4 linked regions of the Saccharomyces cerevisiae S288C genome follow. Changing the gene in region 1 together with any one later gene gives a genetic interaction. Each region holds a gene or a part of one and is shown on either strand. Other genes may lie near its edges. The genes, in order: YML054C-A, YKR041W, RTR2 and BNA3.

What was found.
Region 2: mutations in YML054C-A (region 1) and YKR041W together harm fitness more than expected from each alone (negative genetic interaction), as found in Saccharomyces cerevisiae (one large-scale study listed by BioGRID).
Region 3: mutations in YML054C-A (region 1) and RTR2 together harm fitness more than expected from each alone (negative genetic interaction), as found in Saccharomyces cerevisiae (one large-scale study listed by BioGRID).
Region 4: mutations in YML054C-A (region 1) and BNA3 together harm fitness more than expected from each alone (negative genetic interaction), as found in Saccharomyces cerevisiae (one large-scale study listed by BioGRID).

What each region holds. Positions count from the first base shown.
Region 1 is NC_001145.3:166,090-170,039, forward strand, and holds YML054C-A (uncharacterized protein), read right to left. Parts: upstream 1,693-3,950; coding exon 1,534-1,692; downstream 1-1,533. Other genes in the region: CYB2 (L-lactate dehydrogenase (cytochrome)), read right to left, coding at 1-1,219; YML053C (uncharacterized protein), read right to left, coding at 3,027-3,665.
Region 2 is NC_001143.9:516,671-519,450, reverse strand, and holds YKR041W (uncharacterized protein), read right to left. Parts: upstream 1,254-2,780; coding exon 501-1,253; downstream 1-500. Other genes in the region: amino acid permease GAP1, read right to left, coding at 2,580-2,780.
Region 3 is NC_001136.10:580,425-584,894, forward strand, and holds RTR2 (putative protein-serine/threonine phosphatase), read right to left. Parts: upstream 2,075-4,470; coding exon 1,484-2,074; downstream 1-1,483. Other genes in the region: 40S ribosomal protein uS15 RPS13, read left to right, coding at 1-28; RRG1 (Rrg1p), read left to right, coding at 263-1,360; OCA6 (protein-tyrosine-phosphatase), read right to left, coding at 2,367-3,041; DOS2 (Dos2p), read left to right, coding at 3,289-4,221. UniProt on the Saccharomyces cerevisiae protein: Probable RNA polymerase II subunit B1 C-terminal domain (CTD) phosphatase that regulates RNA polymerase II transcription. May have functional redundancy with RTR1.
Region 4 is NC_001142.9:320,778-325,963, reverse strand, and holds BNA3 (kynurenine--oxoglutarate transaminase), read right to left. Parts: upstream 2,579-5,186; coding exon 1,244-2,578; downstream 1-1,243. Other genes in the region: amino acid transporter YHC3, read right to left, coding at 1-1,000; linker nucleoporin NUP82, read right to left, coding at 3,807-5,186. UniProt on the Saccharomyces cerevisiae protein: Catalyzes the irreversible transamination of the L-tryptophan metabolite L-kynurenine to form kynurenic acid (KA).

The sequences.
Region 1 (3,950 bases):
CAATAAACTTTGATAACGCTCTCGAAGCACCTTGAGATTCTTCTACATTAGTTTTCTTCATCGCTTTTGGACCAGCCTTTGTATTGGAAAATTTCAGCTTCATATCTTTTTCTCTTTGACCTAAACTTGGAGCATCCACAGTGACAAATAATGCCTTTACACCCAGCTTTTCTACATTTTTAACCAAATCATCAGTGATCTTTCTATCAGAGTTAACATATAGTTGGTACCATTGAATTTGTTTATCAGAGGGTGCTGCTTCAATAATTTCCTCAGGGGAACATGAAGCCAAAGTAGATATCATTTGTGGGACTTTTGTCACACCTTGGCCACAACCTCTGGCGACATCTTTTTCACCTTCTAAGGGGTTTCCCAGTTTACACAAAGCTGTAGCAGACACGTAGAAGGGAACATCCACATGAGAACCCAACATGTCAGTTGAAATGTCTACTTTGCGTACATCTACAAGGATCTTTGGTTTGAAAAAAATCCTATGATAAGCATTATGGTTTTCTCTGTGAGTAACTTCGTCGTTAGCACCGGAGGAATAGTAGGCCCACGCTTGTTTAGTCAAAGTTTGAGAGGCCAAGTATTCAAAGTCGTAAAGGTTAATAATATTATCTAGAGGAGGTAGCAGCGATTTTAGTTGTTCTTTTCTAGCGATATCTTCCTTAGTTTCACCAGGAGCATAAGGAGGACAGACAAGTTCAGGAGGCATGGATCCTTGAAGGGGACCCAATTTTTTCTCGGGAGCTATATACTTATCGATGACATTAGGAGCATGTAGTGGTTCAAAAATAGCAGTGACATCTTTCCCGGCGTTAAACTTGATAACATCCTGCCCACCTGGATGATTTGGTAGGAATCGCGTTAAGTCGTATACGTAACCATTGATCACAACCCAACAATCATCGGGCTTGTTATGCTTGGCAACTTCAGCGGGCGAAATCTTTTGTTTATTCATATCCAGTTTCGGCTCGTTGTCTATTTGGCCATTATGCCAGTTTAGATACGCCACGGAACTAGTAGCGGCTAGAATTGCACCGACTCTCAAGGCAGTCCATGACTGTGTGCGTTTTCTTGAGTCTTGTTCGAACGACTTGGATTTTGGAACGGTAGAACCGTACGCGCGGATTGTGTTCAATCTAGTCTTAGACGCTCTGAGGATAGCAGCCTCACAGTTCTTCGAGATTTTTAGTAAAGGTTTGTATTTTAGCATTGACTACTTTTGTTTGCTTTCTTCTCTATGCGGGAACTGTATTAGCGACATAGGATGTAAGAATACGAAAAGATGCAAGAAGATTAGTCGACCAGGTACTTATATATTCACATACTCCAACTGAAAGTATTGGAGATCTAAGGTTCAGCAGTTGGTTCTTGGCGGTTCTTGTATGACATTATTATTGGTCGGGTCGTAGTTCTCTCGAACAGGAGGAGGGGGCAAGGAGATATCGGCAGGCTTTTTGCTAGCGCCTTGTTTGAAAAGCGTGGGGGTAGGTCTCCAAGCGATTATTGAGGAAGTAGTTTCAAGTATTACAGAGTCCAGGGCACAAGGGTCTTCATTATAGAGAGAGAATTTTCGTGAAAAAAATGGGCAGAATGCCACATGTTAGCAATGCAACGACTTGAGTGGGGGGTGATCCTTCCGATGTATGCGTGAAAGATCTCGTGTTGTGCAGGAAAGGGAATCATTTCGGAAAAAAAAGATGCAACAAGGAGGATGGCATGTGGATACTACGTTCTTGCGTAATATCCTTTTTGTTGCCTGTGTTAATACGTGAGCAACATTTTTTGTTAAAGTAGGCGATCAACTATTGCCCCCTGATATTGGTAGTAATTCTGCTAAAATATCGGCTGAGAAATGGTGATTCTCAAATAATTGCTGGGATTCCACTGGATATGGCCCCATTCTTAGATATATGGAACGTAGTAGAAGGCCTCTTAGAGGCTATGGGAGTCTCTCAAGAGAAAATCGACATTTTTACGTAATCATTCGTTCATTTCACTTTATACGTCATGATTCAATATCGTATTACTTTATCAAGTACCCGCGTTTAAACTTCATTAAATGACTGCGTCTCAATCTTTATGTCATCCTCCCTCCGCAAGTGACAATGTACTGGTAAAATAAAAACTAACTAACTAGATGATATTTTTAGAGTTTTATTCCAACGTTTCTCAATAGGCGATGGAGGAACAGAGTGAATATAAGAGGCTCTGTGGATTTATGGTTACCGGATTTATTTCGTAAATTCTTATTGAAGAATGGGTGAATTTTGAGATAATCGTTGGGATTCCATTTTTAATAAGGCAATAATATTAGGTATGTAGAATGTACTAGAAGTTCTCCTCGAGGATTTAGGAATCCATAAAAGGGAATCTGCAATTCTACACAATTCTATAAATATTATTATCATCATTTTATATGTTAATATTCATTGATCCTATTACATTATCAATCCTTGCGTTTCAGCTTCCACTAATTTAGATGACTATTTCTCATCATTTGCGTCATCTTCTAACACCGTATATGATAATATACTAGTAACGTAAATACTAGTTAGTAGATGATAGTTGATTTTTATTCCAACACTTATATTCTATATATCCATAACATTGTCTACATATAATCCGAGAGGTTACGACAACATTCATATAATAAGGGTAGTACTGACACTTTATTTTGAAGTAAATCAAAATAGTCACTCTCGGTAGCCAAGTTGGTTTAAGGCGCAAGACTGTAATTTACCACTACGAAATCTTGAGATCGGGCGTTCGACTCGCCCCCGGGAGATATTTTTTTTCCCTTTTTCTCCAGGCCTAGTGAGGTTTGAGTTTTGAACGTTTTATAGATAGATGTAAGGTAGCCAGAATGAGCACTTAGCCTTTAAAGTAAATTGAGTAGAGATACGTAAACAGTCGTGATAAATATGTAATACATTGTATTATTTTAAATAGGTTAAATTTTCTTTTTTTTTTTTCCATTTCATTTTCATTTTCATTTCCTGCAGTTATTTTTTTTCTTATTAATCTATATCCATGTAATCGTTAGCGATATTGTTGTTAGTCAACGCGGCCATGGCAGTACCGGGTGCTTGTGATGCAATTATACTTTGGGATGGTAGAAGATGATACTGGTGTTGTATAATACTAGCACTTCCAGTAGGACTCGTGCCTGTTATGTCGCGATTAGTGTTACCGAAATAACCATGAATCATGTACTCTTCTGTTTCAGAATAAAATTCAGATTCGTTCAGTAAGCGGCTGTTCATAGTGTGGTGCATACTAACCGGTTTCAGGGGACATATTTCGATATTTTTTTTATAATGAATATTATTGTAGGTTGCAGTATTATTGCTGTTATTATGATTATGGTTATTATTATTATTATTGTTGTTGTTGTTGTTGTTGATGATGATGTTGTTGTTGTTGTTATTAAGATTAGCACACCCGGAACCGACCGAAAACTTTGTACTTACAGAATCTCGTTTTGTTCTCTTCGATCTTTGGTAGAAAGTGTGTGTATCAAACTCGAAATGGTCATTTTTTCTTTTATTCATGATCGTATCATTATTGGCGTCGCTGTTGTATGTAGTGGCGGCATTGCTACCGGAATTGCAATTGTTTGTTTGGAACGCAGTATTGTGTTCATAGTATGAGAGCATTTCACGCAGCACACTTGAGTCTTAAATTAATGAATAAAAGCAGCCAACCCCAAGAAAAAAGAGCCCTTATCTGTTTCTGTCGCAGTCCTATTGTATTCTTCCTAACTATATAATTTTGTCAAAATGAAAAATATAAAAAAAATAATAAAGTCAGCTGAGTGGTAAAGAGAAAGCAAAGGGAGAGAAAAATCGGTTACCCAGATGGATTAGGTTACCCAGATGTCATACGTGTATCATGATTTCTAGAAATTATTACCCTGTTTGGTACCATGACAACGGATATGG
Region 2 (2,780 bases), on another chromosome or scaffold:
AAAAATGAATGAATGAATAAAAAATAAACGAAGTTTAAGGAATGAATACACTGGAAATTGTGTGGTCGTACTTTTTTTTTTTTCTTCTTAGTTACCGATGAAAGGAGCGTAAATTGCGGTTTAAAATCTTTGCTGAGCTTTGATCTGGGAGACGCCGAGGTCTCGAGAAGGAAACACATTAGATGGTATTCACTTATATACCCGAATCAGGAGAAACAAAGGCGAAAAAAAGGAAAAATTTTGTTTTGTCTGCTTTTTTCTTTTTCCGCACGACCCGGGCCGGGCCGTGCAGAAAGACCTACTTGCCCAAAAGCGGCAAAACGTCAACACCACCTCTACATTTCTTTTTATGGACTCATTAGGTTTCCCGATCTGGAAAAGAAAGGGCTTTTCCAGTGCCGCGGCCTCGAGATCCAGGCACCAGGAACTAGGCACGCTGTGTATTCTAACACATTGAAGGGCCTAGGCCCGCTGACGTGGGGTCTAGTTCCACTTTTTCATTACCTTTTCTCGGTCTTTTCTTGCTCCCACAGGCCGTTAATGGCCTGAAACAGTTTTGTGACTTTGGACTTATGATAACGATGTTTGTCCGGGTGCCACCGGATTCTATCGCGGCGAATCAAGTCTAGTCTGTTTGCATCCATCAAGGCACTGCTCATTGTGTAAAATTGTTCTACGCTTTTGTCATCAATCATATCTAAACTCACAGCCGCTAGGGTAGGTGTGCCTGGCAGTGGTAAGGTAGCCGGCTCGTCTTTGGTCATGCGCCAATACTGTCGAACGGCCCGCGCGTAGCGTTCTTCGGCTTCAACCTTAGAGCTGATACCTTTTGCCTGGTCAAAGGCGAAAACGTCTACCTCGCTTTCACTGCTGCTTTCGCTTTCATGACTTCGTTTCAAGCGGTCTCTTTCGCTCTCGGTTGTAACACACTTGTAGCCTGCTATGCTTTCACCGTACTCGAAAAGCGTAGCCTCATGACTAGTTGTACCAACGCCCTTTCTTTTCTTTTTTTTCTCTTGACACTTCGGCGTATTCATCGCCACTGGTACAAGCCGTATGGTGCTTTTTTGCTCATTTTCGTTTTGACGTTGCGATGGTTTCGCGGACCAATCGCATGGGTGGTGGTGGATGTTGTCTTTGCTAGTTGCAACGTAGTCTTCTTCTCTCCTGCGCTTTCTGACGAAAATTGGCCTTACGTATCTTTTTTCGGCGTCGTTGTCGTCATCGCTGTTCATATAATCGTCGTCACTCATATCGGCGCTTTTACTGCATGCTGTCTTTTGAAGAGAGTTTCATTGAAAAGTAGTGAAGAAAAAAAAAAAAAAAAAAAAAAAAAAAAGGAAAAAAGCTTACATACGGAAAGAGAAAAAAAAAAAAAGAAATTTTAAAATGGACGAGTCCGGAATCGAACCGGAGACCTCTCCCATGCTAAGGGAGCGCGCTACCGACTACGCCACACGCCCATAGTAGATATATTTTCTGATGTCCTAGGAATTGGATCATATATTTTTACAAGAATGTGATGTATCAAACAAGCTTGGAGTGGAGTATTCATGATATAATTACCGTTCTCAACCCGCTAAGTCCCAAATACTATCTTTGTGTTGGCTGTTCAATCTCCGGAATTTGTGCATTTGCAATCAATGACAGGGCTTATATCAAGATCTGTTGGAATAAAAATCCACTATCGTCTATCAACTAATAGTTATATTATCAATATATTATCATATACGGTGTTAAGATGATGACATAAGTTATGAGAAGCTGTCATCGAAGTTAGAGGAAGCTGAAGTGCAAGGATTGATAATGTAATAGGATAATGAAACATATAAAACGGAATGAGGAATAATCGTAATATTAGTATGTAGAAATATAGATTCCATTTTGAGGATTCCTATATCCTTGAGGAGAACTTCTAGTATATTCTGTATACCTAATATTATAGCCTTTATCAACAATGGAATCCCAACAATTATCTCAACATTCCCCCATTTCTCAAGATCATAAGAGGGGATTTCCTTATGAGGAAAAGAGCGGAGCCGCAGTGAAAGTTAATAACGATTTAACTTTTTTTGTCTCAATTACGTTTTAAATGTCATTTATAGTAGGAAAATGTTTAACAAGCAGTGAAACTGCAAAGTTTAGTTATCGGAGTGGCGGAAAAAAAAAGGAACTCCGAATCCCCAAAGTTCAATAAGGAAATGGGGAGTAAGGAGGCTGAATTAGTTTGAAACAAAACTGCTACCAGCGGATTTAATCGGAATCAATTAAAATATCAAACAAAATGCGGGGAAATCATATTGATTGATTGAAGCTCACACAGATTAGTTTTCATCTCGCTGTCTACTAAAAGATTTATTTTTACATTTCCTAGAAAAACATAAATAAAATAACAAAAAGTAAAAAAATAGAAATACCTTACTTTCTTTCATAGTATAATTTATCTTATTAGTGCACGGAAATATACAATTTTTGACTATAAACATTTCCCTTTTTTCTTTAGATTAATGACGAGAAAATAAATATATTTATTATGATTATCTAAAAAATAAAGTCTTTTTTTGTCGTTGTTCGATTCATTAACACCAGAAATTCCAGATTCTATACCATCTTGGCTTTGTGGCCATAATTGCCTTTTCTTCTGCAATTTCTTGTTTCAACAAATCTAAATCGACTTCTCTTCTACCCGTATCAATGTCCATCTTTTCTGCTGGGATGAAAAGCTTCCAATTCCTCTTATAGATCTTGTGTCCGATGTACATAACCATAACAAGTGGGAA
Region 3 (4,470 bases), on another chromosome or scaffold:
CGCCACTGCCTCCGCTTTGGTCAACTAGAGTGTTTAAATCATTTATTTCATTATTTTATATGTATATTTTGTATAACTAAAATTGATTTTTTAAACATCTCTTTATAAACGATAAGTTGCATTTTATTTTATTTCACTATTGCTAATTTTTGTGTCCGTTTCTAACTTCAAAGCTGCTCCCAGCCTTTCCTAAGGTTTTCAGTTACCAAGTCTGCCTGAGAAAGCAACAGATTAACACTTTTGTAATGAACAAGTAGAAAATATGGCTCAAAATTTTGGAAAGATTCCTTCTCACAAGTCTTACGTATTGAGCTTATATCGGACCGTTCTCAGAAACATTCCAAAGTGTTGCCACTCATATGCGTTTCAATATGAAATAAAAAAAACACTTTCAATACAATTGTTCAAACACAAGCATGACAAGTCAAGTTGGAGTGTTTATACTTTACTCAATGAATTCAGTTTGTTGAACAATTGCCTTTTGGAAGGTAAATTACAAGAAATCAAAAACTTAATGAAGCCATTAAAAAAGATGAAAAAACAACTGAAAACAACGAAAATCCTCAACTCTTTGACTTCATTAGGGGATGTAAAGACCAACGACCCAGAAGAAGTAAGAAGATTTCATGTTCTAAGTGCTTACATTAAGCGAAAACAAGATTTGGGCCTTTTACCTGCATACATACCAAAAACGTATCAGCACAAACTCCTATTACCATTAGCATTGAACGAACATGCGTGCCTGAAACTATTTCATATTCAGCAAAAATTGAAAAATGGCCCACCTTCTGCTGGGCTGTCATATACAAAAGAAGGAAGGAATCAAATATGGTTTGTTCGGTCACCAATTAACAAGGGCAGACAACAATCGAAAAAGCTGGGAATATTGATACGAAAAGAAAGGAAGGATTCTCAGAAAAATATCGATAATCTCAATTTTTGCGAAATTAATGCTGCTTGGGCATTACATGAGGCCATTTGGGAGGAATATCTAGAGTCGAAAAAGATTATTAAAGTAAACTTACCGAAATACTTGGAATACGCTGCAAATATCCCAAAGTCTACTAAATGTAATCCTTCGAGTCAATATCAGAAAGTTAAAGAATGGGTAGATCCCGTGAGAGAAATAATGTTCGAATTACATTCCAAAAGTTTTCAAAGAGTGGAGTACTTTAACAAATATAAGGAAAAGCTTTTAAAGAACGGTGGCCAACTAGCATATTTTGATAAAAAGTCAAAAGAAATGTACGCCAAACGGTTGACACTATTCAGAAAAATGAGCAAAGAAACATTACCATATGTGACACTCTTTATAGAAGGGAGGGACTTGCCAAGTGTTTTGGCGAAATACGGTTTTTAAGTGCAAAAGTTGCGTGAATCAGAAAGTTTAATAGAAAATTTACTGGTTACTTCCATTTCTATGTAAATAGTCACTCGTATGACCGCGATAAGGATCCTGATGAAGACGATTTAATTATACTTCCTATTCTATACAGGTTTCCTCATCAGTAGTCAACTGTCCAAAGTACACATCCAATGGTAAAGGCTCATTCTTGTAGGTATCATCAAACTCAAGATCCTTGAAACTCGTTATCAGCGATTTGACGGTATCTATAGGTACCTCACTTCCAACTAATTCTTCTAAAAGGCTTACCGAGTACATATCATCAAACTCTAGATTAATGTAACTAGTTAAATGCACGCCTCGCCTTTCATGCAGAGGCGTTTGTGATAACTGTCTCATTAAATACAACGAACATTTACTGTGATAATTATTACAATACATTGAGTGGATAAAGAAGCCATCAGATGAATTTTCTGCCGCACTCTTATAGCATAGCGGGTACCCACATATTTTCTTTCCCCTTCTTGCATTAATAACATCCATATAAGACATCGGTGAAAGTAGCCGTGCTAAGTATTTTAATGTCTGCTCATTTTCGCAAAATGATTCTGTGAGCATTGAAACTATGGCAGATTCAATCATTCGGGCTTCCACTATAGATAATTGCTCATGTAATTGGTGTGATCCTAAAATTACTTTTTGAATGAACGTAGTGGTTATTATCTGCATTATGGCTTGCGTTGCTCCTGTCCTTCTAGTATAAAAATAAACCTATCACTTTTCTTAAATATGCTGCAATTTTTCCAGAATGCCTCCTTGCTGTTGATAAATGGCTTCCAATCTTCGCCAATACTAGAATGTGACCGGCTCGTCTCTTTTGTAAAGTCGATGTAATTTTCGTTGGACTTTTCAATGGCATTTGATATTGAAAAAAATGATTATCAATGCTGGAGGGCCCGGCTAAGACTTAACCCTGAAGCTTCTGTCTTTACAAAATATTATATGAATTTATCCCTGAATTTTACATACTATGAAATTTTAGTTTTGGCAAAGAATTTGACACGCTACTTACTCTTGCAACTTTTTCAGACGCATTAGCATCATCAACACGCAACTCATCTTTTGATTCTGTGGCTGTCCTTGCAATATATCGCACGGTAATCCAGGGAACTTTATCCTTTATATCCAGATCGTCAACTTCGATTTCAGAGTTAAAGTTTTCAATGAAATTTCTTTCATGAATATTGATGCTGGAATTATACACCAAAAACTCATTTAGTATGGATACCGTACTCCAATATGAAAACTTTCTCATACATGCTACTACGAGAGATATTATCAATTCACCATTCGTACAGTGCATATAACAGGGGTAATGCCCTTTATCAATCAGAAATTTAACGCATCGTACTACAACATCGTATTCAATAGGAACTGTTTTCTTTTTCCTTTTAATCTTGGGTTTGGTCTTGTCTGCCTTTCTTTCACTTTGACATTTTATATGAATTGTCTTAATGTTATTTTCTTCACAAAACTTTACCATTAGAGGATCAGTGCTCAAAGGTTCTGGTGTCAAAGATAATATGTATTTCAATCTAAGGGTTCTCAGGAATGGGAGATTGATTTCTCGTGGGTAAGATCCTCTATATAAATTTGGCTGTACAGTCGAAAATTGTAACGGAGTCACTAGTGTCATTTTGATACATATAGCTTATTCTAGATGTGTGAACTGGGTATTCATAGCAATTGTGAACCCATAGTTTATATTGGTACTCCTTTCCTTCTTAACAGAGTCTCTTTTTTTCTTTCGCATTTTTTTTGGCCTTACATCAAATAGCGGTGATTAATGATAAAAAGCACTTAGCAGAAGTCATGCAACAAAAAAAGAACACAACATAAGGGTACAGCTAGTGAGCTCCATTGCTTCGACGTTTTAGGATAAAATGGAATTCTTTTATGAAGAACAAGTAGCTTGTATCGAAGATGATAAAATAAGCAACTCTCATACCAAGGAAACTGGATCAACAGAAAACACTGAAAATAACGAACTTCAGAGCCGAGATGACAAAACAAATGAGGCCTTCCAAAAGTTAGAAGAGGAAGTCAATAAACGATATGAAAAGACTACAAGTGCATTCAAAAAGTTAGTAATCGAGAAAGATGACGGAATTGAAATTAACTTGCCAATTAGCAATGAAACTACAGAGACTGCACAAAAGTATTTGAAGAAACTAGACGAGAATATTCACAGCGTGGAAAGTCTAGCCCAGTCATATTGGAGCAAAATGAAAACTAAGAATTTTTGGTCTGGCTTCAGTAGCTTCGATAATGCTGCAGAAAATGACTCTAATGACAAGGATGAGAATTCGAAAGAAAATGAAATTGCTGTGGGTGGAAATAGAACAGAAGCCGAACTAAGGACATTATCTAAAGATAAATCGGTTTATTTAGACAATAAAATGGATTTGCAACTGGACCCGTTTGACGTGGATGAAAAAACTGAGGAGATATGTTCTATTTTACAGGGCGACAAAGATATCTCCAAATTAATGAACGACATCGTACCCCATAAAATCAGCTATAAAGATTTCTGGCACATCTATTTCTTACAAAGAAACAAAATTCTAGATAAAGAAAGTAAAAGGAAAGAAATATTGTCCAAAAAGGAAAAGGAAACGGAGGAAAAAGAAGTTGAGTGGGATGACGAAGAAGAAGAAGAAGATGATGACAAAGTAGAAGCAGTAGCTGACAACAAATCTAAAGGGGAGACGAAAGTTGCTGTGTCTCAAGAGGGATTGAAAGATGTTAGTGACCATGTTGGCCTCGCCAACAAGGATGAGAGCAAGGACGACGACGACGATGATGACTGGGAATGAGTGATTTTTTTCATATAAAAGATATATGTAATGCTATAAATATTTACATACTTTTCATGACGTATTATGGTAGAAAGGAAAATCATCAATCCAAGAGATGCACAGGAGGAAGACAAAATCTGGGCGTGATCTCATCTTTACACCTTCTAAAAAAAAGTTCGTTTGTTACCGTTAAAATAAATCATTTGTATTTAGGGTTTTTTACTTTGACCTTAGATGGAAATAATGATATGCCATGTTGAACGGGAA
Region 4 (5,186 bases), on another chromosome or scaffold:
TCACCGCCCAGGGCGAATGTGTGACATAAAACCATGATTGCAGTACCGTTATGCACAAATTCACACCTTGTAAAAACGCTAAGATGTATAAACTCCTCATTCTCATAAGATGTCCAAAGGATCTTGATATAAAGACACCTAATTGGTAGAGCGTTCCATAGGTTACGTATATATCTCTGTATTTATGGAAGAAAAATGGCATCGATTTACTTCTTTCATCACCATTAATCGGAAATAATAGGGTCGGAGCTACCGCTTGGTTTATTAAATATTCGAATAAGTAGACGGTGGTCAATGGAACCATGTATGGAAAAACCAATCTTCGAAGTCTCTTGACCGTTTGCAAAATGTGCTGTCTTGTAGAATACAGGGATTGCGAAGCGTTGGTATGTGTAAAGGCGACAGGAAAGGGCACCAACTGGTCATCCTCTGCTTCGTCAATTTGTTGAAGACTTTGGTAAGTCAGGTTGGTATCATTGGATTCTAATTTAAAATAAAACAAAAATGCAAATGGAAGGAGACTAAATACTAGTAAAGTTAGCTTCACTGGAACTTTAAAGATTGAAGTTAAGAACATATAAGATGCTCCGCCAATGATTCCTGCACCACCAGTACCTGACGACCATCCATTCAAAGAAATTTGTTTGTAATAGTGTGTTAGCTGTAGGAATGTCACTTCTCCAAATCCGGAAGATATAGATGCGAAAGATATTCCTAAAAGACAAACAAACAAGTTTTTAAAAGAAACTAAGAACATTCCTAAGCAACTCATCGTGATCAAAGACCATATTCTATAGCTGTACTTGATTCTATCAATAAAGAATGGGGAACACAATTTAATGGCGAGTGATGGGAATATATCTGCTAGCAATACTAGAGATTTAGGCAAGGTAGGACCCACGATATCAACAGCTGCTGAAAGTATTACCACATAAAGTACATTATTGATCAAACCAAAGAGCCAAAAGTAGCAATATATCTGATGAGATTTGTCACTCATTTATATTTACTTGCGCTATATCTTCATATGTGTTTAAGTACTCTATAAATACACTGTTCAAAACATTACTAAATGTTCATATTGTCTATTTTTCATTAAGGGTTCACTTTTTCTTGTAGTACGCGAAGAAAATATGGAATTATTCTGGAATATTGATGTTTATATTTACCACTTCTGCATAAAAATATACATGCTTTATAAAATCTATATATTGAGAAAAAGGAGTATAAAAAAAAATTTATCTTATAAGTAGTCCTTGAGTAGTTTTAATCTCTCTACGGCATTTTCTAGATAAGCATCATCTTTACAAACTGCAAACCTTAACAAATTCTCAGCAGCCTTTTCGTGCTCTTTGATATAGAATTCAGTTGGTGGAATGGCAACCACACCTAATTCATTGATCAACCAGTGAGAAATGCGAAAATCTTTTCCCTTATTCAGGATCTCCTCTGGGTAGGGATAGTCCTCGGGAATTTTCACTTTAGAGAAATCAACGAGGACAAAATATGTACCCTCTGGAGCTGTATATGGTAGTCCCAATTCATCAAAGATCGATGTGAAAATTTTGAATTTGTTGATATATTCCTGTCTCATTTTTTCAAAATACCCAATTTTTAAAGCGTCGTTAATAGAGTTTGCACAAGCTTCCTGTAGAGGGGATGGAGATGCAAAACAAATTCTTGTATGTGCCTTAGCTGCATAACTTAACAACTCTGCGTTCAAGGATAAGACCCAACCAATTCTCCAACCAGTAGCAGCAAACGATTTACCGGCAGAACCGACCGTTAAGGTTAGTTGCCCAATTTCTGGAGAGAGTGTGGCAATTCTAGTGAAAGAATCAGTGAAGTAAAGGTGTTCATAGACTTCATCAGATATAATCACAACGTTGTGCTTGACGCAAATGTTACCTAAAGTGGTTAATTCCTCGCGCGTGAAAACTTTACCAATTGGGTTGTGAGGGGTATTGATAATGACAGCTTTTGTCTTGGATGTAATCGCTTTTTCGAACTGCTCAAAGTCAATGGTCCATTCTTCACCTCTAGTATTCCTTTGATCCAATTCCTTTGGAGGATTTATGGGGACGTAAACAACTTTACCACCGCAAAGTTCGATATTTGGAATATATTGGTCAAAGAAAGGTTCAAAAACAATAACCTCGTCGCCAGCGTTCAAAAGCCCCATCAAGCAAGAAAGTATACCTTCATTGGCACCTGTTGTTACGGTAACATTTTCCGCTTTCAATTCTGTGTTATAAATAGGAGAATACAACTTAATCAAGGAATTAATTAATGAAGGTCGACCTCTAGTTGGAGAATATTGATTGACCATTGGAATGTCTAGGGCTTTCTGAGCCTCCTTAATGGCGAATTGAGGAGGGGAATATGAAAAAAAGCCTTGGCCTAAATTAATAAGTTCACGGCCTTGGTTTTTGGAGTTATTGGCAGCTTTTGCAGCGGCTTCATTGGTTAGCGACCAAACATCTTTGGCAGTGTTAGAAGTGAAATATTTGTTGGCAACAACTTTCGGTCTCGAAGTAGACATTAGGTTCGTAAATTGACGAATGAATCGTTGTTTCATTGAGAGCAAGTAACAATGGATTCTATACGCAATTATAGTAAATTGAACACTTTATATATATCTCTATCGTACCTTCCCCTTTTAAACATGACTGAATTTTGGTATCTTGATTGTCATAATGACAACAAAAAAGCCACAGTTCTACGTCACGTGCTAGACACGACATGCTACTGAAGAAATTGTTATCAAATGAAAAGATACATTTATGTAATAACCACTACCAGGCACTTGCTAAAAAGAATCTACGTAAGAACTACATAAAGGTTAGCTTGTGCGCCAGAAAGTGATATCAAAGTTTTATGAACGCTGAACAATTTTGAGCCAGTAATTATCTTGGCATAGGAGACGATAAATGCCATCGTTCTTTTAAAGAGCTTATTAAGTTATTAACTCTCTTCGATTAGACATTCTCTTATCAAACGAGTTACGTTACATTTAGGAATAATGCGACAAAGATGGAGGTCTTGATTCCTAAATCCTACTCAAAACAATCTGCTCTACTGTCAAAATCCTTGCTCCGTAAATTGATTTCGTTGTCAGACGCTCACCGTACAAGAAGTTTGTGGGTATTTACATCGTAAGAAAAGTGCAACCAGATTCAATATTGAATTACCTGAGCGGTGTCTTCCTATATTAAAATGACGATTTTGTTTTTCTTTGTATTGTGAGGGTAGCAGATTCGTCTTCTGCACTTTTCATCTACTATTGCAAAGCCTAATACAAATACAGTTGTTGAATATAAAAATTCGAAATCAGCCTTCCATTCTCGAAAGTGAACAAGGAAACTCACTGGATAAAAATTCACACGAAAAGAAAAAACCGAAAAAAAGTAACTGTGTTGCTTGCAGAGGGTTTGATTACTCATAACCGAGAGACACGATCTGTAGCGGTGATATGAACGTATTCCTCACCTTCTTCTAACCCTTTGGAATAATAGTTTCCATCACTCTTTACAAAAGTAGCATTACTCACCAAATAAGGTCATAAAAAAGACTTTTATTTTGTATACATGTAAATTTTGGCAGCGGTTAGTGAGGTAAAAGAGATACGAATGAATATACGATACAATGATACAGCATACTGAAAAATCATCCTAACGATTTGGTGCACAGAAGGCTTTATATATTGACCAATTCATATATAATGTCCTCTTGCTACATGATATTATACCATTGCCCAGTTGTTTCTTAGCGTACATATATGATAGCAGACTATGCAAGTCGCTTACTCATTGAGTTTTAGTAGTAAATTCCTGAGAAACTTGTAACAATTCTTCATTGCATTCTTTAATTATCTTTGAATCTATTTCAAGCATTTTGCGTAGCTCATCCCATTCGTTTTGGCTCTTTTTATCGACTTTGATAGTTTCTGCCTCGATACGAGTTAGTTCACTCTTCAAGTACGATAAATCTTGTTGAAGGGATTTTTGAGAGTGAACAAAGCTGTTGAATTGCAATATTTGGTTTCGTATCTCTTTGAACCATTTCATCTCACCATGGCTTATTTTCTTTTCTTTAAATTTATTGGATTCGGCGATTTGAGATAGCTTCTTGCTCAATTTACTAAATCTCTCCATTAATTCTGACTGTCTGCTTAGTTGTGCATCCCATTTCTTATTTTGTGCTTCGAATTTTCTCCTTAAATCATCATCCTTTGAAATTATTTTGCATGTCGATTGTAGTTGGCGCGTCAATTCGAACTGTTGCTCATGAATTCTATTGTGGATAGAAACACCCAAAGTTTGAGCTTTAACAATTCTTTGCAAAAATTCTTTGGAAATATCCGTGAAAATTTCCAACTGATTTTCACTAGCTTCGTTTTTTAAAGGTATCTGGCGGTCTGCTGATGGGATAATTCGTTCACATGGACTAATACAGGCTTTTTGAAAATTATCGTTCAAAATAAGAATCTCATTTATGGGCTGTGTGAAACTCATTTTAAAACCATCTCCTACCGTGTCACTTTTTTCTGTACTGATACTTGTTTCAGCTGCGGTGCTTTGCGGTTTCATATCGCTTGAAATATTTTGAAAAGTCAATGTTTTATTCGACATCAAGGCTAAATTAGATTGGTCATTCCAGTTGATATACGCTAGGTTTGGAATTCTTTCTATGGTGGCAATATCCTCAAGTTTACTTTCAAATTTCAATCCTGCAAGTGGATTCAAATCCGATTCGTTGATACATTTACTCAATGTAGAAGCCCAGCTCATAAAATTTACTTGTTGTATAATATTATCGGAAATGACATAAAGTTTTCCCAACTGTTCAGGTAACGTTATTAGAGACTTAATTTCTCTTTGTAGTTTGACTCGTTCAATTAGAACCAAAGAATTATTATACACGTAATTGTCAACATCCCACGACATTGACATTTCCAAATCTTTGAAGAGTAAGATTAAAGACCCATCATCAAAACTGACACAAACAATTTCATTTTGCCCATTATCAATTAGTATGGTTGCAATATTTGTAGCAGTATAGTCATACAGCTCGCCGGGAAAGGGGTTTATCGTGAATGGTCCTTGAACCTTGGCTAAACGATATTCCTTTTGTATGTCGACTTTGCCAAATCTTGAATTCCAATTTTCATGCAGTTTTGACACAAA